3 linked regions of the Drosophila melanogaster genome follow. The protein of the gene in region 2 interacts with the protein of the main gene of each other region in a pairwise test. Each region holds a gene or a part of one and is shown on either strand. Other genes may lie near its edges. The genes, in order: Upf3, CG14853 and spas.

Region 1 (9,149 bases), on a different chromosome or scaffold from region 2:
CGACAGCCGGCTCTCGTGATTGTCCCTGCCTGCCGGGGGCAACAGATCCTCGCCAGGCGTGGCTGCCCGCTGCTGTTTCTCCAGCTGGTCCACGGAGAGCGGCTGGACGCGGTGGAACAGTGACTCTGCCGTGGCCTGCTTGGCCGATTCGAAGAACTTCAACACATTGCCGGCCGTTACGTTCTCCGCCGAAGGCGTCTTCGGCTGCCCGCCGCTCACCTGGGCATTGTAGTCCTTCTGGGCCTTGGTCAGCATGTTGAATATGCTGGCCGGCTGGCTGCTGTCCTGCTTTGGCTGCTGGGGCGCGGAGACGTGACGCTGGGCCTGGCCATTCGTTCCCTGATCCTTGGACTTGAGCAGCCCGTTCACCAAGCCGCTGATGCGGTCGCACTCCTCGCTGTTGTAGAACCAGAAGCCGCGGATGCGCGAGCGCTCGTTGCGGTAGAGCAGGAACGGCGGCTGCGACTGCAGCTCCAGGCTGCCGGTGATGGGCTCCACGAAGGACGTGGTGTTCAGTCGGTTGTTGATGAAGATGCTGTGAAAGGGCTCCGCGTTGCGGTGGTATATGAAGAAGGCTCCCTCCACATCGGTCTTTTCCCACTCGTTCTGCGACGAGTTGAACGTGTAGAAGGCGACGTGCGAGGACGAATCCACGATCTCCTTGGCGTACGGGTCGATCTTCTTGATGGCCGCCAGGTTCATTCGCGTGATGCTCTCGTCGGCCATTGTAAATTGTATGTAATCTTCAGTTTTGGCTGTGCTATTGCGAATTGCAATTATTTGTGAATTTAACGGCGCTCTGGTCACACTGCCCCGTGGATGTTTTCCCGTGTTTATCAACGACTGTGCTGCGGTCACACCGAATGACAATAAACTCTTCCTTTTGTCTATTAATGATTTGTTTGAGAAATATTAAGTCGATTGACTTGCATATAAAAATGGCCACAATTGTACGTAATAATATTTCTCAATTATGTAGCATAAACATTTAATTTATGTTTACTAATAAAATTTTCAACTTCGATAGCATTTCCATTTCAATATATCGATACTGAAGACCAGCTCTAGAAACTGGCGGGAACTAATTGCATTGCAATTTGTATTTATTTGAACACAGAATTGCCACAAAATGCAAAAGTCTATAACGTAATTTACGATTTAACAAATGCTAAGTATTGCCAATCTAACAATCCCCCGTTTCAGCTCCTTCTTCAAGAAGAAATCCGATGCCACCGACAGCCCCTCGCCGCCCAAGAAAGTTCCTAAGTAAATGGTGCCGCTGTTTTCTTGTTTCATTACTAAATTCCTCGACAAATCATAGGATTGATGCGAAGACCGAACTCCCAGATGAACCCCACATCAAGAGCGAAAGTGCCTCCCCGGAAACTAAGCCCAAGGTAGAACCTATGTCTGTGGATTCCGAGGAGAAGACAAGTCCGGTGAAAAATGTTAAGAAGGAACCAAAGGAAGTCGATGACAAGACCACTGACAAGAAGGTCACAACCATAGGTCTCAACTCCACTGCCGCTACTAAGGAGGATGTGGAAAACTACGATCCATCCGCCGACTCCTATCATCCGCTCAAGAATGCCTACTGGAAGGACAAAAAGGTGTAAGTAGTGCAGGATTTTGAGCCTCCAAGGCGAATTATATCAAAGGAAACACTTTCCAGCACTCCCTACTTGGCACTGGCCCGCACATTTCAAGTAATCGAGGAGACCAAAGGCCGGCTCAAGATGATCGACACGCTGAGCAACTTCTTCTGCTCTGTGATGCTGGTCAGTCCGGAGGATCTTGTGCCCAGCGTCTACCTCAGCATCAACCAACTGGCGCCCGCCTACGAGGGACTGGAGCTGGGCGTTGCCGAGACCACCTTGATGAAGGCCATTTGCAAGGCAACGGGGCGTAATTTGGCTCACATTAAATCGCAGACGCAGCTAACCGGGGATCTGGGCATCGTGGCCGAGCAGTCGCGCGTTTCACAGCGCATGATGTTCCAGCCAGCGCCTCTGAATGTGAGGGATGTGTTCCGGAAGCTACGCGAAATAGCCAAGCTATCCGGTCAGTCGAAAATGGACCTGGTGTACAATATGTTTGTGGCCTGTCGATCGTCGGAGGCTCGCTTCTTTATCCGTTCATTGATTGGCAAGCTAAGAATTGGCATTGCAGAGCAGAGTTTGCTCACAGCGCTGGCCATTGGTTTGGTGAAAAAGAACCACATCGATGATTGCAAGGCTAGCAAGGTGCCGGATGTGTATAAGGATGAAATAGTCGACACCACTTTGCTGTTGAAAACTGCATACTGGTAAGAACTAACTTAAGAACCAGCTAATAATTCAGATGCTAACGAACTTTTGCAGTCAGTGTCCCAACTACGATATCATTATACCGGCCATTCTAAAGTACGATATTAAGGAGCTGCAGGAACGCTGCCCCATGCATCCCGGCATGCCGCTGAGGCCCATGCTCGCCCAGCCCACCAAGGGGGTCCATGAGGTATTTGAGAGATTCGGCGGCATGCAAATCACCTGCGAGTGGAAATACGATGGAGAGCGGGCCCAAATCCACCGCAACGAGAAGGGGGAGATCAGCATATTCTCGCGCAACTCCGAGAACAACACGGCAAAATATCCGGATTTGATTGCCAGGAGCACTGCCTTGCTCAAGGGCGACGTAAAGTCCTACATCATAGACAGCGAAATTGTGGCCTGGGATGTGGAGCGCAAGCAGATTCTGCCGTTTCAGGTGCTCAGCACGCGCAAACGGAAGAACGTTGATATCGAGGAAATCAAGGTCCAAGTCTGTGTCTACATCTTCGATCTGCTGTACATCAATGGCACTGCTCTGGTGACCAAAAACCTGTCGGAGCGTCGCAAGCTCCTGTTGGAGCACTTTCAAGAGGTCGAGGGCGAGTGGAAGTTCGCCACTGCTCTGGACACCAATGACATAGACGAAGTGCAGCAGTTCCTGGAGGAGTCTATCAAAGGTTTGCCCTGCCAACCAACCTAAAAGTTGTTTACTTAAGCTTTATTTCACTAGGAAATTGCGAGGGCCTCATGGTCAAAACATTGGATGAGGAGGCCACCTATGAGATTGCCAAGAGATCCCGCAACTGGCTGAAATTGAAGAAGGACTACCTATCCAATGTGGGCGACTCACTCGATTTGGTGGTCATTGGTGGCTACAAAGGCAAGGGCCGGCGAACTGGAACCTACGGAGGATTTTTGCTTGCCTGCTATGACACCGAAAACGAGGAGTATCAGAGCATATGCAAGATTGGAACTGGCTTCACTGATGAGGACCTGCAAACGCATTCCGAGTTTTTGGGCAAACATGTGACCAGCGCCGCCAAATCCTACTACAGATACGACCCCAGCCTGGAGCCCGATCACTGGTTTGAACCGGTCCAGGTGTGGGAAGTCAAATGCGCGGATCTGTCGCTCAGTCCGATCCACCGAGCAGCCATTGGCATTGTGGACGGAGAGCGGGGCATTTCCTTGAGATTCCCTCGGTTCATTCGGATACGCGACGACAAGAATAGCGAAAACGCAACGGACGCCAATCAGGTGGCCCACATGTACCAGTCGCAGGATCAGGTTAAAAATAATCAAAAGTCGAGCACACAAATGGAGATGGAGGACGAGTTCTACTGACCGGTCTGCTCCAGCCATGTGTACACGATTTATTTAACAATAAAAGTCTGTTATCGCTATTTGACGCTGGTGCTGCTCTCGGAGGATTTGGAGAAGCGACGAGTTTCGAGCTCACACTCCTTCACCTCCTTCGGTTTGGGTTTGTTGCGCCGATTGGGGCGTTTGTTCCTCTTCGAAGTCTTCTCCTCCACCACGGAAGCCTCTCCATCCGAGCCATCTTTGCCGCCTGCACCTTGGGGCAGCTCATCTGATGCACGAATTCGGGCTTTGGGCTGGTAAATGGCAATCGATGGTCGATCCTGTAAACATCAAGCGGGTTAGTAAAATGTCGAGGGGGGTAATAGGTGAGACCCACTTTATTCCGAATGCGCCGCTCCTCTGAAGCTCGAAATTGAGCAGCCTTGATGGCTTCCTCTGCAGTTTCGTGGGCGGAACCTGCTGGCTGCTTGTCTGCGCCGGTTCTTTTTTCCTTGCGACCACCTCTGGCAGCCGGTGTAAAAACCTTGACAGCAGCTTCTGGTGTCTCGGTGTTTTCAGTCGCAGGCTTTTCTTTCGAGGCCTCCGCAGCGTTAGAAGTGGATGGCACGTCCAAACTCTCGTTTGATTCTGGCTTGTTTGCTTTCTTCAAGATAACGATGTCCATGGACTTTGAATTTTTGTTCTGCTTGCCGCTGGATGGCTTGCCTTTGTCCTGTTTGTCCTGTTTGTCCTGCTTGCCCTGGCCGTCATCCTTTTTCTTGTCCCGCTTGACTAGCTTACGCTGTTCGTGTTCCTCGCGTCGCCTCTGATCCCGCTCCGTTCGTCGTTTGGAGCGCGAGGCCTTGGCATCATTGGCTTGGGATCCAGATGACTGCGGATCTTTGACATCCTTTTTGGCTGGCTTCTTCGTGTCTCCTCCTCCGCCGCCTCCTTCGGCCTCCTTAAGCTTGCTGGCGTCCGACTGCGCTGCCAATCGCAACAGCTTCTGCTCCTCGCGTTGCTTCCGCTTCTCCTCGTTCCGCCTGCGCGCCTCCTCCCGGCGCTTCTCCTTCTTGTTGGCCAGGTACTGCAGGAGGGGTGTAGACTTGACCTTCTCTTCTGTTCGCCGTTCGAAGTTGAAGTCGATCTTGACGTCGCCCATGCGACTCGCCTCCTCGCGCTCTTGGGCCAGCCGCTTGATGAACTCCTGGTAGTGGGGTTCGCTCTCGATGGTGTTCACCTTGCTGTCGTCGTTCCTGGCCTTGTTCTTAAGGAAGCACTGGAAGGGAGCATACTCCACGATGGCCATGTACTCGACGCCCTTGTGGTCGACGAAGACGTAGCCGTCGAAGCGATCCCGGAACTGCACCACCTCGCCTATGTCCTTGGAGGACATATCGATGTAGGCGCGACAGGTGGCCTCCTGGCCCAGCGACCAGTCTGCCTTGCAGTAGTAATACGAGTCGTTCTCCGGCAAAGGACCCACCTGATCCAGGAACTGCGCCTCCGTCATGGTCGGCGGCAAATGCCGCATCACAATCTGCAATGAATGCATTAGTTTCGGAGGATCGTGGGATTAAGACAGTCTGGACGGTACCTTAACGATCTGATTGGTCTTGTCCTTCTTGTCCTTGCGCCTGCTTGCCTTGGACTTCTCCTTGGGCTTTTCCTCGGCAAAAGTTTCAGCCATTTTCTGTTCCTTTTTATTTACAAAAATCAAAACAAAGCCGAAAAGCCAACAAATGCAAACATGATGTGGAACCGATAGAGATGGCACTTTCGGCTCGAACTAGAAGAAATTCTAAAGTTCACAAGTGGAACCTATATCCAATTATTCTAGTAAAAAAAAATAGATTCTATCAAAGAAGTTAGTCACTTAGTTAGTTAGCCAAATATTAGGAAAGTAGAACTTGAAATATCTGTGCCATTTCTGGCAATTACGACAAGGCTCTGGTATCTAGATCTTTGGAACTAGTTCTTTAAATCCACATTGCAAGAGCGCTTTTTTTGACCGGTACGCAGATATCATGCTCAACTTTTAAACAGTTTCGACTGTTTTGGCACATTAAATGCTCGAATTGAATGAATAAAAGGAAACTTGGTCAAGGTAATGAGTAAATGGACATTCTAGAGAGCTTGACACATGATGCAGTAACATCGTTTTCAGGAATCTGAGCATTGCAAAATGATGGCGCCGGTAGATCCACCAGTGGGATCCTTTCTGAAGTGCTTCGTCTGCGTCTCCGATGAGGGCAGGACTTGGACAGAATTGATACAAGGTTTCACCAAGGAATCGGACAAGGTGGAAAAGAACCTTGCTCACCTGCAAACGCTTCTGGAGAAAGCACATGTGAAGCCCAGCGTGATATGCAGAGGCTGCAATATGCAGCGATACTGCAGCCTGTCCCATCTCGTGGCGGATCGTCAAGAACACAAGCCACTCTGCGAGGTGCTGAGGGATCTGCAGAAGTCCATGAAGATCGATCACCCGTTGAAGCTGCTCGGCCAAATCACCGATCGCAGGAAGCTTCAGCTCGTCATTTCGCAGCTAAAGATGGTCCTGCTGGCCAAGTTGGGCAGACCACTGAATCAGCGGGAGCATCAGCTAATCGGCAACCCAGCCGTGTGCGATGTGTGCTTCAGCACTGAAGCTCTCGAGGACTGTGAAGGATGTGCCGGAGTGGCCTTCTGCTCCGCGGCACACCAACGCCTAGTCAGGGGCTATCACACCCCGGAGGATTGCCAGACCCTGGCTCTGATTGCCACTCCGTTTCGTCAGTTGAACTGTCTAGTGAATATCAAGGACTTCTACCGCAGTTGCCCACTAAAAGAGTCTAATCTAATCAAGGCTTTCACCGAAGCCACCGACATACGGATCAGCGACACTCCTTGGACCGATCTGGAATCGTACCAGCTATTCGCTACCTGTTCCTCCTTCAGCGGCATCGCAAGTCTGTGCCTGGCCCTGTCGCACATTTCCTGGGTCCCAGATCCGAATAAAGCTGTCATAGTCTACGTGGCCGGCGCCACCGAGGACACTTTGCGCTACTTCGAGGACATGCACCTGCGTTTTCTGTTCCTGCAGTACCCAAGCATTCGTAATCTGGAATTACACTTCATTGGAAGAACCGTTGGGCGCATCGACCAAGTGGATATCAAATTCAGCGACAGGAGCTTTGAACAAACCGTGGTGAAATGCTTTTACCCCCTGTCATTTTCACAATATTCCTGTATTCTAAATGTGGATCCCACCTTGATTCTCATCATGCAACCCGATTTCTTCGGAGTCGGTAAAGTAACCCAGAGAATTTCTAGGTATATGAAAAGGAAGGTTCCACTCGAAAACGAATGGAAGCCTTGCTTGTCAAGTGTTATTCGATCTTTTGGTGTTCCCATTTGCTACACTTCGATTTCAAGGGCTCAGGCAATTTCCGATTTCGCGGCCATCACATTGTCCGCTGAGAAGAGCAAGATTGCCATCGAGAGAGCCTACAATATAATGGGCAATCCCTATCGTGAAATATTGCCACTGCACAATCCAGCACCAGAAGATACCGAGAGGATTGTGTATGCCAATAACTACCTCGAGGTTATTTTCACAAGCAAAAAAAAATGCCAATGACTACCAAAGACTATATAAGGCTTAGTTTAGTACACATAATACCTTCGACAATACTGACATTTGTTATTAAACAGCTGCTCGTCAAATACATATTCTAAGTTACCTGATTACTGCCACAAGTATCAAGTTAGATGCATTAAAACTACCCAAGACTGTAGAATAACTACAATTAGTTGATAATATCGAGAACAGTATTCAGTTTCGAACGCGGCTTTGAATGTCGCCCTTTAATTTAAACATGTTTGTTTATCCATTTACATTTTTGGTAATTCTTTAAGAATAAATTGTTTAACTAGTTGATAGCCTACATTTGTAATAAGTATAAATGCTCAGTTTCTCAATGCAGCCACTTAACTCTACGAGGAAAACGGTTACAATAACTTCAGAAGGGTTCTTTTTAGGATGTGGAAGCTTTGATCTAGAATGTCTTCTTGGAAATGACAACAATTAAATCGATTAACCAATAGAACGACTGGTGGAGATCACCCTCGCACAAGTACGGCGCCTTGGTCCATGCCTCCACGCGGTAGCCACAGTTCTCCAGCAGCTCCATAAACCTGGCCGCCTCCTCCTCGAACGACGCCTGTCGCCCGTTGTTCTCCAGCAGCGGGCGCAGCGGCAGATGCGAGGTATTCGTCTCCACGTAGTGCATGTAGGGAAGTACTAAGGCCACAACTGCTCGACCATTGGGAGCTAGTGCCAGGTGAATGTCCTCGAGCAGCTTGAATGAATCGAAGCAGCGGTCCAATACGTTGAGGCACAGAATCAATTCCAGGTTCTGCAGACCGTCTATCTCGGTGATTACGTTGAAGTTCAGCTTCTTCAGCCGATCGCGCATGGTCCAACTGGCCTCGGTGGCGAAGACCCGCAGCCCGGCACTTCCGCTCAGCTCGGAAACGGTGTTGGCCACGCGCAGCGAAATCTCACCGTCCCCGGCTCCGATATCCAGCAACGTGACCTACGATATGATGGCAGATGAGTAGTGGTCAAGACTAAAGGCTTTTACTCATCTTACAGGTTCTTGACCGCTGGCAGGCTGAAAGCCGCCTGCTACTAGCAGCTTGCGAAACTGTTCCTCGGACAGTATGAACATGGAGCCGCGCTTCAGGAACCCGTTGATGTCCGTCTGGGTCATGAAGAACTGCAGGATTGAGCGAGCCAGGGCGTGCCACAAGTGGGTCCAGATGTTTGCCGAAAGCGCCTTGGTGCGCTCCAGCCAGCTCACGGTGGTGGCATCCGGCTCGAGCGGCACGAACTTGGACTGGAATCTCGGCGGCAGCTCGTGGTTCAGGCAGTACCACTGAAATGCATCCAGAATTTAGGAAAAATCATATTGTTTCGGGATTTCGAGTTACCTTCCGAGTGTCTATGTCCTCCAGAGAGTTGTCGTTGTGGAATTTGGCGTGGATTACCCTGGCCAGGGTGCCGCGGGGACGATACACAGCCATGCTAACAGAATAGTCTATAATTGTGCTTTTATTTACATTTTCTACTTCTGTGTGTTTAACTTAGTTGTGCCATCATTTTTCCAGTTTGAAGAACTGGAGTACGGTATTTTTCCAGGGCTGGATTGCAGAGTTGCACTTTGATCAGCTGAATGCGATTGGTAAAGGTATATCGATATGTAGGCGTGACAGCCTAATGTAAGTGTATTATTATTTATAATGTATAATTTCAGAAATTAATTAATTAATTTGTAGCCGCATAAAAAAAATTAAAATATGATGTTATATTTGATTTGCCATTTAAAAGTATAAATACTTTGTAATATAAGGAAGACTTTTATATTTATATCTAATAATTGTACTACTCGCTCTGCAAACGAACGCACATCGTTCTCGACAACATTGACGCCTGTTCGATAACATTGGGGCGCGATGCACGTTGACATTTTATTTAGCTGTCGAGTAATGTAT
Region 2 (9,536 bases):
GGCGGAGGAGGTGGTGGTCTCTCGCGCAGCTTCTCTAGCTGCACCGAGGGATTCACCGTGCTGCCCAAGAAGGTCAAGCTGGGCCAAAACAAGGTGGTTGCTCTGCTGGCAGAACCGCTGGAGAAGAACGACACCCTGAAGCTGCAGGTGGAGAAGTCCGGTGAGCTAATCGAGCTGCGCAACTTCAAGTGCCGCAATCCCTACACCCTGCAGTTCAATATCCCAGAGGCCTGCATGGAGATCTCCACCATGATCGAGATTCGCATCGAGAAGAACAACAAGAGTCTGGGTGCCAGGCCCATCAAGTGCGAGAGTCGTCTGCGGGAACTGGAGCAGCTGCTGCGTATTGAGGACTCGCCAATTGAGTTCATGTGCCATGCCCTGGGAATTGGACCCGTGGAGCGGGATGCCCTCGATCAGCACTTGCTGCAGTGCTTCCAACGCAACATGCCACCCAACTTCCACCTGCTGAGTGGTCCCAGCGAGCGTCAGCCACACTTCTTCACCCGTCTGGAATCCAGTCCAGAGGAGTACCCCACATTGCTGCACTTCGCCGCCAGATGGGGCCTGAATCGCCTGTGCATCCAGCTGATGGAGTGCCCAGGTGGCGACACCGCATGCGGAGTAAGAAACTGCGCCGGACGCACTCCGGCCGAGTTGGCCGAACAGGAGGGGCATCACAAGTTGGCCCAGAACATCGTCAGTTTCGCAGAGTTTCACGAACTGACCACCATGTACCACTACTTCAAGGGAGTGACTCCGCCAGGCGAGAGCTGTCCCAAGCCCAGTGCCAATGTGGTGATTGAAGCACATCCCGTTAAGGCCGGAAAGACCAACAAGCCACCGAAGGAACTGCCCACGGCGGAGTATATGGAGATGTCCAGTGGATCGGAGCGGGAGAACACACCTGAAGTGAGGACCAAGACGGAAACCCTTGCTATCTCGAATCTCAACTACATAAGTGTGGAAACCGAGGACGAAAACCTGCAGGCTTCCGTGGCCGAAAAGAAGGTGGAATCTGAAAAGAAACTGCCCGAGGCTGGCAATCAACCTGGCCCGGAAAAGACCACCAACGAATTGAGGATCAACGAGCCACCCTACTATCAGTCCAAAGAGCAGAACCAGCAGCCAAAGGAACTCAAGAACCAGAGCAAATCCCTGGACGAAGTGGATGCGGCGCCACTCTATCAGACCGACAAATTCAGCCAAGAGTGCTCGCAACTTTTGGAAAACCAACTGGGCAATGACTACGTACTGCAGCCCTCCAATGTGCCGGTGGCCCAGGATGATGGCAACTATTTGTTCCAGCCATCGAATAGACCCGTGGAGGAGCCCCTCCGGTTAAATCGGTGCACCAACAGACAGCCCGGATATGGAACACTGAAGCGCAGTGCCAGCGACGCATCCGCCGCCAGTCACACAAGATCCAATGCCGACGATGAGCTGGCCGAGATTATGCACGATTTTAAGAACAACGTGCTCTCCATTCGGGACGTGGAAGTGCTGGTGGAACGCTGGAAGCACCGCAACGATGTACAGCAGAGCTTCCGGGAGAAACAGGATCAGATCGACCAGCTGCGACGCGAGTACGAGCGCATCCAGGAGCAGGTGAAGTCTCATCTGAAGCGCGAAACGCCTTTCGAGCGGATCAAGAAGTTCTTCTTGCGATCCAAGACACCTGGGGGAAACGACAGCCTGCTGGACGAGACCAAGTCATCGATAGCCACAAGCTGTAGCTTCAAGTCCGCGGGGGGCGTGAGCTCCAGCGCAGGAGCTGGACGTCCCATCAGTTCGCTGAGCCTACAGAGTGTGTCCAGCTCGAGTTCCTCCTCCGGCAGACTAAGCACCGGCAGCAATTGCAGTGGTGCCTCGCTGGGAGATTCGGGTACCCACTCGGATCACGAGGATCGTCGCTTCCCGCACTGCCGGATGATGGACAACTACATGGTGCCACCGACACCGAGACCCGTCTTTACGCCCAGCTCAACGCCCGGTGATGAGCGTCATCAGATTGTATTCCCCTCGCCCATGTCCAGTTGCCAGCGCTTGAACACACCCACCAGTCCCACGGGATCCGAGCACTACCAAATGTTCCCCTCGAACATACCCGTGTACGGCAGCCAGCCACTGGTTGGATCCCAGAGCAGCAACTACCTGAACACCATCATGGAGGCCAAGGAGCAGGCGGAGACACAGCACTACCAAAACCAGAACGGAGTCACCCTGCAGCCCATTAAGCTGAACGAGCGATCGAACATCATCTACGGCAAGCTAACCAAGAGCAGCTCCGCCAGCGGATGCAGCTCCTTCAAACCCAAGCAGATCCCAGTACCATGTCCCCAGGTGGGCAGCATCGAGGTCCAGGCCGAGGTCTACCAGAATGTGGGTGACGTTGCTCCGGAAAAGGACTCCAAGGCAGAGGAGGAAACGCCAAACTACATGAACTGCTAGGCCATCCCAACGACACATATTGTAATCGAAAGATTCGAAAGATTTTCATATATTGGTATTCGTTCGATTTACATGCGAGATTTGAATTTTGATCGAAATCGAAATCCTTAATATTTGCTTAGTCTGTAAGCTCATCCATTGCATACTAAATGAAAGGATAAAATGAGTATGAACTAGTTATCGGTATTCTAATTATATGTTTAAGATATTCGAAAGAGTGCCTTGGGCCTTTGAAGTTTTTGAAACGGAAATTGGACAGTTAGAACATCAGAGGTCTCAAGATCACTTCGGATTACTTGTATTATCTCTGTAGTCTTCGGTTTCAGCGACTAATTGTACATTTGTGAAACGATTGCAAGCAACCAAATCAACATATCGCTAGCCTTTAAGTATAGATCCTAAGTCGATACCAACAAACCAAGCAGCTGACATATCAACGCGATTCATTCAACTCTAGGAATACCCACCCCATTTAGCGCTAAGATACCCACCTTTGGCATGCCGCTAAGCATGAAAAACTCGTTCATTCTCGACTCCTCAACCCGCAAAGTTAAACGCAATAAATTTTTTTATATATAAGCAAAGTCAAACCTATTTTCATTTGCACGTGCGAAGGACGTGATGTTTGGTGTGGCAGGACTTGTGGGAGGCAAAGTGTCCGTGGCGAACAGGAAATCGTGCGGAATCCCTTGCAACACGCAAAACGGGATTGCAACTGCCAACGTAAATTTCCCTTTTTTCGGAAACAAACGCAAGCTTTCATTTATGCTGACTGGAATGAGTTTTTCGCGCTTTCGCCCAAATAGAAAAGCGAAATGGAAAAGTGGAACGAGTTAAATAACACAAATGCTTGTAGATCTTTTTTCTGCTGACAATCTAATGGCCGCTTAGGGATTAATGCTAGCTGCAAAAAAAATTAGGAATAGCATTAATTCAGCTTATGACAGTCGGAAATTGTAATGGAAGTTTTTGGAGCACTGCTTAAACAAAAATTATTGCACCAATCATCCCTTGACCTTTTTGATTGTTGCAAATGTGCAAGGACCGTAGTTGAAGGACAGCACAAGCACATTTTTTCAAGAGTTCAAAATGGCATTCTTTGCATTACACATCACAATATTTAATATTCAGATTAAAAATGATATTTACTGCACCAATACCAGGGAGATTTAATTTTGTTCCTCCCCCAAAAGCATGCCACAAAAATGCTGAAAAGCGAAATGCGGAAACCTCATAGGAGTACTCAGTACCCAGCATCCATCCTCGTCGGGCTGCCTCCAGCATCCGCCACTCGAGGGCATACATGGATCCATATATGCAGTGTAGCTGAGGAACAAAAAAGAATACCATAAATGTATAAGCAAGGATTCGCACTAAGCCGGCATCTCTTAATTCACACTCAATGGGCCGCAAAAATCTCTCGCTGCGCTCCCGTTGCGTACGCTCTGCATAGTATTTTTCCCAGCTGGCTTGCCACTCGCGTTGCATGAACACCCACACTAACACTGATAAATCTATACCTTCACAAAAACACACACACACAGAGACGGAGGGCAGACAACATGGCCACAATCAGTCGGCCATCAGTCTTTGGCCTGCACCATTTCCGTATCCGCTCCGCTCTGTTGTTTGTTTTGTTTCTCTGCTGTAACACAGCGATAGAGTTACAGAGAGAGCGAGAGAGAAAGAGCTTTGTAAGAGCAGAGCTTTTATATGAAAGGTTTACAATATTCAAAATACCATTAAACTTACAAAGATGCTAACATTTAATTTTGAAATAATTTAATACATAATAAATGAATAACTAATTAGTTATAAAAAATGGGGTTGCAACAATCAGTGGCTTGTTTCATTGTATAATTCTGTATTAAAACACAGAAAAATACAATGTATTATCTAAAGTATATATATTTATAGGAACGTATGGTCATTACTGAGAAAACAAAACTCTCCAAAAAACCATTTCATTAAAAATTAGCTGAAAAGTACTTCATCATACCCCTCACTGCATACAGGGTATTCAAAAAAGTGAGAGCAAAGCGCGTTGAGAGAGAGAAAGCTGGCAAAAGAGAGCGGGAGAGAGCCGAAAGCTTTTACTTGAGCAAGGTAAAAGCGAACAAGTGTGTATAAAAAGGACATTTCGTTCAGTCGTCGACTTTGTTAATTAAGCGAAACTGCGACGCAAAAAAGCGGAACAAATTTTCTTTGGCCACAGAGAAAAACGTTTCCATTTTCCGCTGCAACAAATTATTTAAAAAGTAAAACATACTGTTTGTCGTTTACTTGCATAAAAAACAATCGTGCATCTGAAAATTGTGAATGTTAGCGCGTAACCAGTGAACCAAAATCGAAGGACGTGTTTTGTGTGTGTAAGTTTATGCAAAGAAAACACTTGCAACCATTTTTGCAGCTTCAACTGCGTAGAAGCCAAGGAAAACACACGTTAATTACATTATACCCACGCCGCAGAATCTTTGATTCGCTGAAAGTCCTGGGACTCAGTACTAATTAATCCTGGGACTTGCTGCTTCCACAGCTGGGAAAATTCCGAGAGGCTGCAAATGCATTAAGCAGGTGGACGGAACACCGCACACCGTAAATAATTGAAGGTAGGTGAAGTTGCCCTGTCAGCAGGCCAGTGAAACTGATGCCAGATTTCAACCCACATCACCGCCACGAATCCACGCATTAACCTTCGTCCTTGGCGGGAATTGTGTGCTCTTCTGGTCGGCATTTTTGTATATTTTAATTATTTATTTCTGCCACTCGAGAGCGGTTGCCACCCCAGAGTGCTGAGCACTCGAAACTTTCTGCACAGCAACACATTTTTAATGATGTGCTAAACGATCATCTCGAGGCCCATGTAAATTTTCACCTCGAAATGCGGAGCTTAACCCCTTGGGTTTTCATGCGACATATTTGTAAAATGTAGATGCTGGCAAAAGGAAATGCCCTATGGCCGAAAATAATGGAACGATGTTGTTGTCTAATTATTTTATGTTGCTTAGTTAGCTTCCAGTTTCACTGTCTAGAAATATACAAGAATTCACATTTTAGAACTACTTTCTTAAACAATTTAATCTTGTTTTACAAAAGTAATAGGCTTAAGTACGTAGAAATCTTGCCATTTGATAAAAATTATATAGATAGATAGGCATCTATTATTTTTGCCCCATAAGAAGGATAACCCTTGGGGTTATTTTTTTGTTGAGTGCAAAATTGAAACAACAAAATATATCCCCTTTATTGCCAATTGAAAATATAGAACATTATATGTGCATTCTCTTATTACTTTAATTTTGAAAAATACATTTAAAATTGAAGTGTGATGAACGCATATATTGCAGTTTAATATCAATAAACAAAAAGTCTAAAAGTGAAAAATAATTTTTGCAACACTTAAAGCGCCAAACTCTGCAGACTGGTGACTTAGTGCATATAGTATTTTCCGGGTTTGTGACAATCACTTCACTGGTTTTTTGTTTCGGGCTCTTCTTGGCTTGTCACCAGCGTCTTTGGGTCGAGTTGGCGGGCACTCATAAATATTTCAAGAAGTCAAAGCTGGGCTGTGTATGTCTTGTGTGTCCTTTTCCTAGCAAATATGTAAGCAGCCGCAACTTGTTAGCGTGTGTGCCTGTACAAACACTAGCAAACGACAGCGTTTCGGCTTCGCTTTCTGTGTCAGCCAGCGGCTTTTTCATCCTCTTCATCATCTTCTTGGCCAAGAAGACGTCGCATTGTTGCTATAATTTTAATTACCACTTGGGTGACTTTTGCGCCGTGAGTCGGTGAAAAAGAGACTCACTGTATGAGTGAATGAATGAATGAATGGCACAAGACAGGCTGCCGAGTGGAGGCTAGAAAGCATCTGAAAGACAGAGTGTGTATGTGTAGCTCGCATATATAAATTCCTGTTTAGGTATAATGCAGAACCGACAAACAAAAACCCTTGCAATACAATGCGAACAATTTCAGAGAAAAGCCGCATTGTTATGGCAAAGCCACAGGCAACTGGAAAATATTGCGCATACGCCGCGTACGGCTGCCACTCAAAGTTATGCTGCGTATGGGAAATGTTACACACAGCATAATTGCTTATTTGCCGCTTCGGTGGCGATCTAAACCATATTCGGTTTAGACACAGACGAATAGATAACCATCCCCCATCCGCCAAGTATCGATTGTAATTCATACAAAGCCAATGACCACAGCGAACCGCCCAAATGTCCGTCCTTGGGCGTTTTGTTGGCGGGTGGCAGCAAATTAAACTTTCTATAGACAAGTTTTTCGGTCTACAGAAACTTTTTCTTTGCCATATTATAATACCTAAGGAGCGATAAAATATGAGAGAAGCTTCGCAACCAAACGACGTGGCTTGAAATGGGGTTGTATTTGTTTCCATTAAAGTAGATACTTGAAATTTTAGCCATCTACAAGATTTCCCTGGCGAATATTAAAGTACTTTTAGTTTTCTAATACAAGTTTCCTACGAAAGTTTGGAAAGTTTTGGCATATTTAATGTTATGGGTTGTCAATTCAATCGACCGTCATTTTATGAGAGTACTAGTCAAAGTTTATTGAATTTTTTCGACATCCATTCCTCATATTTTCAGATTCCTTTGAAATTCTAAAGCCAATTTCTGCTGGGCTTAGAAAATAAGCATAAAAGGTCACCAAAGCTTACACAAGCCACTTTACATTGATTGGAAGAGCAAAAGTTGCGATGACTATGTAGTTAGCAGTCAAAAGCATAGGAAAGGTACTTTACCATAAGGTACTGTTACCATAATATTTGGGCAACGAATAAAAAAGACAGTTAAATGGCCAACGCTTGGCAGCCGCTCAAAGAGCCGCAAACGTAATTGCAACAGCAGCAATAGCGATAACAACGTTTTTGGGACGATCATTATAATCATGCAATTTGGCCCACGTCCTTTCAAGGACTGGACGCTTTCAGCCAAAGGAAGAAAATATTTACAAAGAATTGTTATTGCAGTTTGCTAAGTCGTTTGACTGTGCTGTCCCATGAGCATATTTATACTCTATCATAAATTCGCCTTTTATTGACAACATTTTGCCAGGCGACACCACAGAACGAAAAACAAACTTTATTCTTCAGGTTTTTGAGGTTTTTAAAGTAGCACATTCGTGAGCTTTAAATAATAACCATACTTTTGGAAGAGGGTTACTTTAAACAGGAGTATTAAACAAAAAATTAGCAATTTATAATTTGATATGCCTTGTTTAAACATAAGGCCTGTAAATATAAATAGATATCAAATATGAAGGTTTATTAAGATAATTAAAAAGTATATGCAAAGGTATGCAAATGTGCTGATACCAAGCTTTACCCATACAGTTTTTTACTCTGCATTTATTGGCCTGACCAGATGGGTTTGCTTGCACTATTTGCCGGCTAAAAAATGTATTAAGCGGAAAACTCATTAACGGCTTGTGTTGTGATTGGCCAATGGCAAGGACCTTGGATTCGGTAGTGTCAGCTCCTTTGGTTGGCCAGTTAGTTAGTTGTTGGCAGGCGATGGAACTTCGACTACATATTGCATGTTGTTTTGGCTCAAATAAGCCCCAACAGGCCGGCAATTTGGCAAACATTCGTATGGGCCTAGCTGGGGATTGGTATCGCAGTCAACCCATTTAAGTGTTTGTTATAAATTATTCGGCGCATTTTCAAACTGGACAACCGAATTGCAGTAACGGCAATGGCTTTTTATGCAATTTTACTGCACTGTGGCCGCCATCTGACCCCATGACGCATTTGCAACATACATACGCTCACTATGTGGCACAAGTGGCTCACGTACATACATAACTTTCCGGTTCGCCGACTCTAGATTTGGCTCAAACAAAACGGGGTTGGTTGCCGTTTAAATTCAGGTACGGCCAACTCTTGGATGGAAATTCAATTTGCCCGCAGACATTTTAATTATGCAAATGAAAATGATTTGAGTACGTAGCCAGCACCTGTTTGTGGTCTCATCATAGACAAAGTTTTCCTATTCAATTCCTTACCACGTCATTGAAAATACCGACAAATTGGCAACTGCTCTTAAAATCACATAAATTGCGGCTTGCGAAAAACTAATTAAACTATCATAAAAGCTATAATTTGTTGATAGCATAATGACAATAATTTATAGTTGTCGATAAATTACGTACCAAATTGTCTGCTTTTGAAGGTTAAAATAATCGCAATTTTTATATTAACGCATGGAAAATAATACGTTAATAAGTATATATGAAAATAAACACTCTTCCCATCAGAATTTAACTATTCTAGTACTGTTTCCTTGTTTCTTTAGTTGGTTTGAAATCTCGAAACTGACAAAAGCGAAACTTTAGTTTATAACAGCTTTAGGAAGTTTCGAAACGTTGAATTACTCAGAAGAAAACTTGTTTTGAAATTAGTTTTTCCACTCGTGTTAATTGAGCTCCACTGAATAAGTTAGTGCTTAAGAGCGGAAAAGTAAAGGGTTTTTTGTAAAAGAGGAAATCTAAAGCTGTCATGAGAATTGTGGCACATGGTGAGTAGTCGCAAAGTACTTTTAAAAGCTTTTTTCCAAAACAGTTCCCCCAACGAGCAACATGTCCTTTTTCGCAACCTTGTAAAAGTCTGGGCTGAAAATTAGCAAAAAAAAAATATATACAGATATACTCGTAGGATTGGGAATATGGCTGCAGTCCTGCGATTGAGTTTGCGTGACAGGATGAGCCAGACATGTCTGACATTTGGAAATGCCAGAAAGGATCAACCGACAAGTAAACAAATCGCAGACTGACTGACTGACGTGTTGTTTGCAGAGACAGAAAGAGAAAGCACGTCACCGGGCGACAGAGACGGGTGACATGAGCCAGCAATTAGGATTCAATGCATTGGGTATAAAATACAATTAAGGGCCATTTGGAGCAGTAAACAAGCAGTGAGCAGCGAAAGCCATGCCCGTTTGGTTTTGGCTACAGCACGTTGCAAGATGGTTATTATTATTTCAATTACGGGTATTGATTTTACAGCCAAAAGGAAAGTACACACAAAAAAAACGCTTACGATTGAAAATCAATTCGTCATA
Region 3 (11,590 bases), 9.4 Mb from region 2:
CATTAATTAGTTCGCATTTTAGACGACGAAGGTAAAATTTTAGCGACGCGTTCAACGTACATTTGCAGCCCCTAACAACTTTGAAAGTTTCGCAAAATTAATACAAACCGGTAGCGGCTAAACTTGACCGTCAAATGAAGTGTGCGAACAGAGTGCAGAGCAAGTAAAATGCGGTAAATTTACAAACGCAGCCACGTCACAGAGAGCGCATTAAAGAAAAAAGAAGAGAGTGCGAATTTTGACAGCGAAATTCGAGTCTGAACAATGGACATTAAGCGAATGCACTATAGTGCGGCGGGGACGATAATTGTTAAGCCCAGTTTTCGGCACCGCTGTCAGGCAGCAGGGTCGGGGCGGAGGCGTGGCGGTTGTTGGTGGCGGGGGAGCGGCATTAAAAGATGGCAGCACAAAAGCGAACAAGATACATACATATACGTACATATAGCGGCAAGCTGAAAAGGCAAATGAAAAGTCCCGCATTCAAATCGTCTTGGTATTGGTATATTGGCATTAGTTTAAATACACTCAATAGCCAAAAGCGGAAAAAAGCAAAAGCAAAAGAAAAGTGGAGACTCATGTGAGGAAAACGCAAACAAAAAGACCAGCGCAAGACGCCTCTCTCTGCGTGTGTGTGTGTGCGTGTCGGTGCTAATGTGTCAGTGTGTGTGCGAAAAAGAGACGAAGAAAATAAGCAGCAAATGAGCAACCAAAACCACCCCGCCATTCCCTTTTCGCCGTCTCTTCAGTTCTGTGACTTTGACTGACATTTTCTAGCGCCGCCGCCGCAGAAATAATCAAAATCAAGTTTAGTTCTATGCAAATTAAAATTTGATTTCGCAAAGTGTGAAGAAGAAGAACACGAATCTAATGCAACCGTGTGTGTCACCCGCCCGCCGGTTTCGCAAAATTTCCCACATCTTTCTCTTCCTTTTCCCTGTTTTTCTTTCTCCTCATTTTGTTATCGACGGTCATTCATCTTCTAGTCGATTTTCGTCGTTCTCCTTTCGCCCTCGTCTCGCTGGCGTGCCTGAGTGTGCATTTCTGTGTGCTGTGCGTGAGTGGCCCAAAAAAAAATTTGTAAATGTGAATACAGAAATATATTAATTATAAACTAAATCATTTTGCAAGGCCCGCAAATTTGTTGCGAATGAATGGCTATTGTCAATTGTTGGCCATTCGCTTTGTTATAAAGACAGGCAGTCTCTTTCCCCTGTCCTTTCCCACCCGCCTCTCTCGCTCCGAAGATAGCTCACTCACTCTCCCCGTGTTTTTCGTGTGCGCCAGTGTGTGTGAGCGTGCGTCTGTGTGTGCGTGTCCCTGCACTGCTTTGCCGCCTTCTTTGTTCCCATCATGCGAAAAGGGGGCGGGGCGGGGTAGTCGATTTATATCCATATCATTTGCGCCTGTTTTAAGGCCCACCGATCATGTGCCATTAGACCTTGTCCCACTCTTCCGGTTATCAGCGCAAAACTAACCCAAATTTACCTCTCTCTTTTACAGCAGCAACGATTCCAGGGGTCAGCTTCGAAACCCGAAAAGTACACTCAGCCTGCGAACTTTCACGCTGTTTAACTTAGCTAACTAATTTTTGTACAAGAGCAAGAATAAGTAGTCGCAACCAAGTATTCATATGTACATTTATACAATCCTGTATATTGGAACGGACAACTATTTATAATCACAACAACAACATCCGGATCATCGAAGAAGGATCGAGCAATTCTGAAATACCAAGTAGTGTACACCAAGAAACCCCGAATCCAAATCCCAGGCCCCCAGGAAAGGAAGTCAACCGATTATAGACATATATATTAGGCGACTAATCGTATATTCCAAAACACTCCATTAGCGTTTAGTTAGGACAGATATATTTATACGTATACATATAGATGTTTAACGAAATTTTCAATTAGGCGCCAGATTAGGAACAAAATAAAGCAATAAACGACGAACCTCAGCGTTAAGCAAATAGATCAACCTACCTAGATTGAGCATATAAAGTTTATATAATCCAAAAAAATCAAGCCAAGCCGAGAGTAAGTCGAAAGTAGTAGAAAATCAAAGTATTCAAATCTCTCTTGGAGTTTCCTGTTAGCAGCTAGCACCAATTAGATTGCCGCAAATACACCTGTTTAATTAGCAGACACTTTAGATTTTGTACGTAGCTAGGAACTTAATCTGCAAATTTTTGATACATCCCCTTCCGATTAATGCGGCCAGGTGCAGTAGTTGCAATTCCGGTTTTAGTGTAGAGTCAGTAGATTGTCGCTGTAGCCTAGTGTATAATCAGATCAAAAAAGCCACAGTCCCGTGACATCCGACAGCCATGGACGAGTCGCAACCGAAGACCCTATACGTGGGCAACCTGGATAGCTCAGTGTCCGAGGACCTGCTAATTGCCCTCTTCAGCACCATGGGGCCCGTCAAAAGCTGCAAAATCATTCGGGAACCGGGCAACGATCCATATGCCTTCATCGAATATTCCAACTACCAGGCAGCCACAACAGCTCTGACCGCCATGAATAAACGCCTATTCCTCGAAAAGGAAATCAAGGTAAGCTGATTAGCTTCTCTTAAGTTATCAAGTGGACAGCGGTCATTTTCATTCATTTTGTTCGAAACTACACTCTTGCAACACACACATTCCCCACGACCAAGCCCTCATGTTATTTTAATTATGTAGAACTTAATTGATTATTACCTATTAAACGAATGCTCTTCGCAGGTCAACTGGGCCACCAGTCCCGGCAATCAGCCGAAGACAGACATCAGTTCGCACCACCACATATTCGTGGGCGACCTCAGTCCCGAGATTGAGACAGAAACACTGCGCGAGGCTTTCGCCCCATTCGGAGAGATCTCCAACTGTCGCATTGTGCGCGACCCTCACACCATGAAGTCAAAGGGTTACGCCTTCGTGTCGTTTGTGAAAAAGGCGGAGGCAGAGAACGCCATCCAGGCGATGAACGGCCAGTGGATTGGCTCGCGCTCGATACGCACCAACTGGTCCACGCGCAAGCTGCCACCACCACGCGAGCCTTCCAAGGGCGGAGGCCAGGGAGGCGGAATGGGTGGCGGACCGGGCAATGGGTCCGGTGTAAAGGGAAGTCAACGCCACACCTTCGAGGAAGTGTATAACCAGTCGAGCCCCACCAACACCACCGTATACTGTGGCGGATTCCCGCCGAATGTCATCAGTGACGACCTGATGCACAAGCACTTCGTCCAGTTTGGTCCCATCCAGGACGTGCGGGTCTTCAAGGACAAGGGCTTCTCGTTCATCAAGTTTGTTACCAAGGAGGCAGCCGCCCACGCCATCGAGCACACGCACAACAGCGAGGTACATGGAAACCTGGTAAAGTGCTTCTGGGGCAAAGAGAACGGAGGCGATAACTCGGCCAATAACCTCAATGCCGCCGCTGCCGCGGCAGCAGCCTCTGCCAATGTTGCCGCCGTTGCGGCAGCCAATGCTGCGGTTGCCGCTGGAGCGGGTATGCCCGGTCAGATGATGACGCAGCAACAGATCGCCGCCGCAACAGGAGCGGCGATACCCGGCCAAATGATGACACCCCAGCAGATTGCGGCGCAGTATCCATACGCGTACCAGCAGATGGGCTACTGGTATCCACCTGCGGTAAGTGTTGTATTCTTTAAATACGCAGTGACCTAAAGATTGACCCTAACTTTGTGCTTTTCTGCAGACTTATCCCACAACCCAGATGCAGACGCAATACATGCAGCAGGGCTACTATCCCTACGCCTACCCTACCAGTGCTCAGCAAGCGGGAGGAGTCCGTAAGTTTACTTTTCTCAGTTGCTGAATAATCGTGACCTTGGCTTAAACAGCTTGCATACAATTTTCAGCGGCTGGATACCGCATGGTGCCGCCGAATGTAGCATGGGGCGTGCCCGGAACTGTGGTGCCCGGTGTGACGGCTGCCGCAGCATCCGCGGCCGCTGCAGCGAACGGATCACTTGCCCCCCAAATGATGTACAGTGCTGCGATGCCACAATACCAGACCCAATGAGCTGAGATGTGACGCCAGCTTCGACGCCGTTTGCAGCATCCGGGAAGTCGCCCCCAGCCGCAGCCACAACCACCTCTGCTGCATCAGCTTCCGCACCTGCAGCAGTTGCAAGCGCATTACGCACGTTTAGGTTACGTACAATACCGAGTAGTAGCAAAGTCGGAGCCGCTCCTGGCCATGCCGTTGACCAGCGGCAGCAGCCACATTGACGGTGGCAATGTATCTGGAGATTATTAAGGATGCGCGAGTGTCCACTTTGAAGTTGTGGCTACGGTTGCGGCTGACTGCGGTGGAAGGAAGCGGAATCGGGTGTGGTATATAGCCCCCCAAAGTCGAACGTTAAGGCGGTGCGTGGAGCTCAACTTCAAGTGATCCACGCCGGCGACAACTGAAAGAACATCAATTGAAAAGCTCCGGGCGATGGGCGGGTAGCTGTAACAATCTAATCCAATCTAAGTACGTGTTAAATTAATTTAATGATTTCTAATTTAAGCAGATATAGGCGTATAAACGAAACGGAAATAAAATAAACCGAATGAGAAATTCAACAAAAACAAACAAATAAAAACTGAAAAGAGAAAATGCTAATTACGCGCGACAGAGTTAAAACAAAAAGAAAACAATCGAAACAAAAACGTGACAAAGCAAATTGTAATTGTAACTATGTGGAACATGTGTCAACGAAAACTGAAGACGGAAAGAGGGTAGTTTCAGTGGGATGAAAGGATAGCCGCAAGCAAGCAAGCCGAATGCAAAAACAAGAGGAAAAACAAATTTAGTCACTAAGAGAATGTAAATTCGAGCATACATATTGTATATTTCCAATGTGGAAAACGAAATGCGATATAAATATGTAAAATGTAAAATAAAGAAGCAAAAAAATATATAAAACAAGTGAGAAAACGAAGGGACGCTGGTTTTTATATTGAGGTAATGAATTAGGATGTGGAATTATTATTTCAAACTTTAATTTATATCATTGATGATAGAAGTGGTTACTACTACTACAAATCTGGTGGAGGATTCAGCGGAGTCTAAAATATAGTTAAAAAGTAATTAACTTTTACAATTGTGCTAAAAAGTTTTCTTAAGGTATAACATACATACATGAATGAATTTTATAGCTTTAATATTCTCTAGTGAGACGCAGTTTTTCTGCGAAACTAGTTTTCATGAATGCTTAATTCTTCTGCTTACTTTCTCTTAATTTAAATGCACCTGGTGATGTCAGCCGTTGCTCAATTCTCAATACACTACCAATGGTTTCCAATAGCTTAGAATTTTGTTGATGATTAAGAATGCAATTGATGTTTCTTGAAATCGATTTTATTTAGCGTATTCTATAGATTTCTTTATATATATAGTTTTATATGCATGTAGTTTTTTTTTGTATCTGTGTTTAGTAACTAGTCAAAGAACTCAAATTCCGGGTGGGCGAGCTGCGTTGAAGCTGGTTCAATGTGTCGCGATAAGCGACGGGCATGTGCGCGGGTGAAGATGTATCTGATCGATCTGATAACACCAGATCCATACGCACCTGCTAGGTACAACATTTTTGGGTGTGTTACTAATAATATAGGTGAATCGGAGACGATTGTATTTATGGCTGTAGGTACATAGATTGAAACAAAGGAACTAAACTAGACTAACCATACGGACAGTGATAACTATTAAAACTTAAATACGATTCTGCGCTGGTAAATGTATCTTTGTGGGTGTGTATAAGTATATCATCGGTCTTAGGTCTACGCTTACTTCTAGATTACATGTAGCTTGTGGATGGGCACTCAATGTACAACAAAAATATGCTTTATAGTTCAAGGATACAATGGAAGTAGTTGTGAACTCCTTGGGCCGCCTGTCTTACAAAAAATCACTACGGAATGTTTCAAAAAACTAATTTATAAAGCAATGTGGCCTTGAATTACTATCATAAACGAAGATAGGGCAAACCTACTATTCTAAGAACTCCAATGAAAAGTACAGATCTTAGAAATATATACCATGAGTATGAGTATAACGATAATGGAGCTGCATGGCAAATGTTGCACCACATGGACATGGTGGTTAAACAACGAAAAAATACAATACAATGTTCTTAGGCTAAAACACCAGAAATAGCTGGGAAACAAATCATATTAAATAACTCACAGGTAAATACAAATGTAACAATGTTTGTGAAACGAAAAGTCTACGGATTGAATAGAACCTTAAGGGCGAAAAACATGGGTCACATAATCAAAACTAGTGTAACGACAATGGGTTGCGCTCTGAGACTCACATCACAGCTTCTCCAAATTGGATTGATGAAGGAGGGCAGGATCATTGGCTAGAACAGACTAGATGGTGATGTCGCCATAATCTTGCGACCACTTCTCATATGAGTTGAGGCTTTGCGGCGCCACCGAGCGCCTGATGCGCTTGAGCGAACTGTGAAAGTCCTGCTCTGTGATTGCACGCATTGCACTGATGTCCAGACACTTCACTTGCTCCACATTCAACTCTCGAATGGGCTCCAATGCGGCGTCCTTGGCCAGTGCCGTTAAGTCGGAGCCCGAGTATCCGTCTGTTATCTTTGCAAGGCGACGCAACGCCTCGGTATCCAACGGACTGCCTTGCTTCTGGAGCAGTCGATTGAGGAGCAGCTCGCGGGTTTGCTCGTCGGGCAGTGAGACGTAAACGCGCTTTGTGAACCGACGCAGGGCTGCCTCGTCCAATTCCTGCGGTCGATTGGTGGCGGCCAGCACCACGATCCTGTCTCCGTCTGGATTTCCAGGCAGCCCATCGAACTCCACTAGAAACTCGGTCTTTAGGCGACGCGATGCTTCATGCTCGCTGCTGCTTCGCTCTGAAAGCAACGAGTCCACCTCGTCGATGAAAATAATGGAGGGCTGCATGTGACGGGCCACGGCGAAGAGAGCCCTCACCAGTTTCTCGCCATCCCCCACGTACTTGCTGGTCAGCGAGGCAGCCGAAATGTTCAGGAAGGTGGCACTACACTCAGTAGCCACGGCGCGGGCCAGCAGTGTCTTGCCATTTCCGGGAGGACCAAACAGCAATAAACCCTTAGCCGGTGCACGAAGCCCTAAAAAGGAAGAAGATTGGTTATGGTGACGGTTCTAGTCGCAGAATAACCAACTCACCCGTAAAGAGTTCCGGTCGGACGGAGGGTAGAATGACCATTTCCTGTAGAGCCTGCTTGGCCACATCCTGACCGGCAATGTCAGTCCACTCCACTTTGGCCCCACCCTCGACGATCTCGTCGAGTATAAGTTGCACCAGCTTCTGTTCCACTCCCTTCACACTAACCACCGGAGTGCTGGCGCCACTGCCACTGGGTCCGTTGTTGTTTATGGGAGTCCGCGAACGCTGGGGCGGCGTATTACGCCCCGAAGACTGTAATATGAGTAATTTAGTTTAATTAGTATTTTAATTTCTGAGTATTTGCCAAATGTGTAAAAACAAATTTAGTTTACTTATCAGATACTCACAAATTGTCGCCGAACGGCGGGAGGCGTTGCAGCTGTCTTGGCTGGTTGCCTTTGGACTGCGCCTACAGATGTTTTGGAGCCAAGGTTGCGGGGCAGCGTTTGTGATTTGTTGGCCACGGCCAAGTTGACGGGTCGTTTGGATCCAATTGTCAGTTTGCGGCCAGATGCTGTGAACGAATTAGCACAATCAGAGATGGATAATGCGGAAGAATATACTCTTTTACAAGTTTACAATTTGGCCAATCGAAATAAAAAATTCTAAGAAAATCAAGTGCCAAGTGAGGTGATAGGGATTGACTAATCGATCTGCTTATGGTGGCTTTGCGCTGGCGTGTGAGGATCTTGTTGGGTGCGCGTTAGCTGGTGAGGAACTTACCAGTGGGTTGGGCACTGGTGGTGGCCTTGGGCCCATAGCCACTGCTGCGCACCCTTAGTTTCATTGGTTCGTTGGTCATTCCTGCCAGCATGGGCTCCCTGGTCTTCTGCGGCTTGCTTTGAGCCTCTTCTTTCTGCTTCTCCTTTAAGGAGAGGCGCTGCATTTGCAAATCCTGCTCACGCAGAGCTGCGCACCGGATGAACATGTGCATATGGACAAAACGGAGGGGACAACAAAAAAGCAGGGGAAAACGTGCAAAATGAAATAAAAAAAAAATGAGGTAAACAAATCCTATGTTTTAGGGGTATAGGAAATATGACTGGTCACTTACCTAGAAAATGGAGACGATCCCGCGCCATCGAAAGGTTTGTCTGCATCTTGTCGTGCAGGCGCTGAGCCCGATCCCACACATCACCACGTCCACTCCAGCAATCGACAGCTATGCCATCCTCTAGCTCCTTGATACCTTTTCGGTAGAGCTCAATTGCCAGCTCTTTGTGACCTGAATATATAGAATAATATTATTTTATGTTTATTTTATAACTATTATGTTCAATCAAGCTCGCTTTCCTCTTATAAATAATTTGACAAAGAGTACGCTTATATGCATTAGAATTTAAAAATCGCATGCTTGGAGAACTTCCACTCCATAAAAGTCCATCAAGGCAGACAACCCTACTCCTGTTGACATTTGGGGCATCCATTGTGCGCGCGTTTTGCCTTATTGATTCTCACACTCGACAGACAACAAAAGCGGACAGCGGGCGATGACTCATTGAGCATTCGAGCACTCGAACTCGAACTGGAGCTGCCACCCCCGTCGCCGAAACTCACCTTCGTTCTCCTCATCAATTTTGAGCGCCTTGGAGATGTACTCGAAGGCGCGTCGATGGTGATGCTTCTGCTTGGCCAGCAATGGATCGCCGGGACCAGGTGAATACCCTCCTCCCGGACGATTGGCGGCCATCTCCAACGGTTGAATGGGCCTGAAACGCTGTGGCTGATTGGATAACTGCTGTTCCTGTCCGTCACCTTCACGGTTCAGCTCCGAAGGATGGTTCAACGACTGCTGTTGCTCCTTGGAGGAATTCTGCACCACGATTTCAATATTACAGTCGCGTCGGTGCGGGCGGTATATCACCTTTGTGCTCGCACCGTATAGGTAGCGAAAAATACAAAACAGCTGATAAATCAGCGAGCGCAGAACGTTGAAAAGAAAGATTATGGGGAACGAGACGACGTAGAGGTTCTGTTTGTGCACAGAGGACGAGTAGCCGCCGTACGAATGGTGGTGGCCGCTGCGTGGGGAGCACGTTGTGGGGGTCAGGTCATCTGTGGTGGTGGTGTCGTCGTCGCCGTCGGGTGAGCTGCCCGGACTACGGCGATTCGATGAGGAGCCTCCACCGGCGGCAGATGAACCGCCGGCAACAACGGCAGCAACGTTTGAGGCGCTCGACGAGCGGTGAGTGGACTGGCGACCACCGAGTCCTCCGCCGGATGATCCTGCCCCGCTGCTGGACTTTATTGGTGACTTGGTGCTGCTGCTGCTGGCGCTGGAGGAGGACGACTGGTTTTTAGTGCGTACCATCGATATCGATTCCGCGCTGTCTGCGCGTCCAGCACTCCGGCCCCCTGCTCTCCTTGCCCTAACCCCGTGAAAGTTGCACGGGGAAATTATCCTTGTAAGCCAAATCGGTTGGCCGTGGCACGCGTTTGTATCGATGCCGCACAAAAAAACAAACAAATCTCGAATATTATTGTTGTACGTCGTTTGAGCTAGTGCTCATTTTGCTGATATCCGAGAGTACTGATTTTCTTCCGCACTTACAACTCTCACTACGTTGAAAATTGAAGCTAAGCTCTGGAGTCCCAGCCAGTGCTGACCAACTATCGATTACCAAATCTAGCGGGCAAGGTTGTGAAGTCAGACAAACAGGCAATTTCAAAGTTTAAATGGTGGAATGTAACGGATGAAATATAATTTGGGAGACTTTCACCGAAGTGCAGTATGGAGACATTCGTAATTGAAGGTAAGTTTGATTTATTGCCTTGTTTATCATTTCCTTTTTGTTTATACGAATATTTTTAACAGAAAACATTTTGTGTCCTTTACAACATCCTTAACGGTTGGCTGATTTAGCGGAAAAACGCTAACTTGTCATATCGTAGAGATCCAGCTGTCAATAAAGTTACCAGACAGTTTCGGATCCGATGTTTTTGGATGGAAATATTTAAATTACGTGATCAATTTTAAGCAACTGATCGAAATAATAGTTTTGATTTGTTAAATTCGTAGAATTCAAACACAATTGCCGGAAAATTGGGGAAAAATATCGCATTATTTGGCGGTCGCCTAGTGTGGCAGCCCTGGTAGCTGGGTTGCGATATATCGACCTTGATACACCTACTGCCATCCCCATCACTCTGGGTTGTTTTTTTTTGCGTTTTTGCATAACAAAATCCTAGAATTTCGGCCTAAACGCCAGCGATCTCTGACCAGCAGAGCACGAGCACAGGAGCGGCATATCTCACTTGGAGAGCAGTCGGAATGGGACAGTACACGGCGTCGCAGCGCAAGAATGTTAGGATCCTGCTCGTCGGCGACGCCGGGGTGGGTAAGACGTCGTTGATTCTGTCTCTGGTCAGTGAGGAGTACCCGGAGGAGGTTCCGCCTAGGGCTGAGGAGATTACCATTCCGGCGAACGTGACGCCCGAGCAGGTGCCCACCAGCATAGTTGACTTCTCGGCCGTGGAGCAGTCGGAGGATGCCCTGGCCGCCGAAATTAACAAGGCGCACGTGGTGTGCATAGTGTACGCCGTGGACGATGACGACACTTTGGATCGGATCACATCCCATTGGCTGCCGCTCGTCCGGGCCAAGTGCAATCCCTCCCTGGACGGCGAGGGTGATGCCGAAGCGGAGGCGGAAGGAGACACACAACGAGAGCCCATTCGGAAGCCAATCGTTCTGGTGGGTAACAAAATAGACCTCATCGAGTATTCCACCATGGACAGCGTGCTGGCCATCATGGAAGACTACCCCGAGATTGAGAGTTGCGTGGAGTGCTCTGCCAAGTCGCTGCACAACATCTCCGAGATGTTTTACTACGCCCAGAAGGCTGTGCTGCACCCGACTTCTCCCCTGTATATGATGGAAGAACAGGAGGTAAGTGCTTCCGGAGTGGATCATAGGTCGCAACTATATCATTGCGCCGTAATTGGCGGTTTTGCGATAGGTAATCAGCTTGTACTCTTCTAATAAAACTTCGCATTTTCAGCTCACATCCGCCTGCAAGAAGTCGCTGGTGCGCATTTTCAAGATCTGCGACATTGACGGGGACAATCTGTTGAACGATTACGAGCTGAATTTATTCCAGCGACGCTGTTTCAACACACCACTCCAGCCGCAAATCCTTGATGAGGTGAAGGCCGTGATACAGAAAAATGTGCCCGATGGCATATACAACGATGCGGTCACCCTGAAGGGCTTCCTCTTCTTACACTGCCTTTTCATTCAGCGGGGAAGGAACGAGACAACCTGGGCGGTGTTACGGCGCTTTGGCTATAACGACCAGTTGGAGATGTGCCAGGAGTATCTTAGGCCACCGCTGAAAATACCGCCTGGCAGCAGCACAGAACTCTCGCACCGCGGACAGCAGTTTCTGATTGCCGTGTTTGAGCGCTATGATCGCGAT

What was found.
Region 1: the proteins of CG14853 (region 2) and Upf3 interact in a two-hybrid assay, tested with the Drosophila melanogaster proteins (one large-scale study listed by BioGRID).
Region 3: the proteins of CG14853 (region 2) and spas interact in a two-hybrid assay, tested with the Drosophila melanogaster proteins (one large-scale study listed by BioGRID).

Annotation. Positions count from the first base shown.
Region 1 is NT_033778.4:23,889,467-23,898,615, forward strand, and holds Upf3 (Upf3), read right to left. Parts: upstream 5,522-9,149; 5' UTR 5,302-5,521; coding exon 5,209-5,301; intron 5,152-5,208; coding exon 4,009-5,151; intron 3,953-4,008; coding exon 3,710-3,952; 3' UTR 3,654-3,709; downstream 1-3,653. Other genes in the region: DCP1 (decapping protein 1), read right to left, coding at 1-726; DNAlig1 (DNA ligase 1), read left to right, coding at 1,130-1,146, 1,204-1,266, 1,322-1,612, 1,673-2,305, 2,361-2,986, 3,040-3,653; CG17658 (uncharacterized protein), read left to right, coding at 5,797-7,233; CG5339 (uncharacterized protein), read right to left, coding at 7,652-8,191, 8,249-8,533, 8,589-8,681.
Region 2 is NT_033777.3:14,605,048-14,614,583, forward strand, and holds the start of CG14853 (uncharacterized protein), read left to right. Parts: upstream 1-4,594; 5' UTR 4,595-5,060; intron 5,061-8,765; exon of another isoform or gene 8,766-8,993; intron 8,994-9,536. Other genes in the region: stumps, read left to right, coding at 1-2,451.
Region 3 is NT_033777.3:24,036,402-24,047,991, reverse strand, and holds spas (spastin), read right to left. Parts: upstream 9,778-11,590; 5' UTR 9,484-9,777; coding exon 8,730-9,483; intron 8,398-8,729; coding exon 8,227-8,397; intron 8,082-8,226; coding exon 7,896-8,081; intron 7,687-7,895; coding exon 7,520-7,686; intron 7,425-7,519; coding exon 7,172-7,424; intron 7,114-7,171; coding exon 6,368-7,113; 3' UTR 5,338-6,367; downstream 1-5,337. Other genes in the region: Rox8, read left to right, coding at 2,327-2,554, 2,726-3,634, 3,702-3,795, 3,847-4,028; Miro (mitochondrial Rho), read left to right, coding at 10,444-11,061, 11,174-11,590. UniProt on the Drosophila melanogaster protein: ATP-dependent microtubule severing protein. Stimulates microtubule minus-end depolymerization and poleward microtubule flux in the mitotic spindle. Regulates microtubule stability in the neuromuscular junction synapse.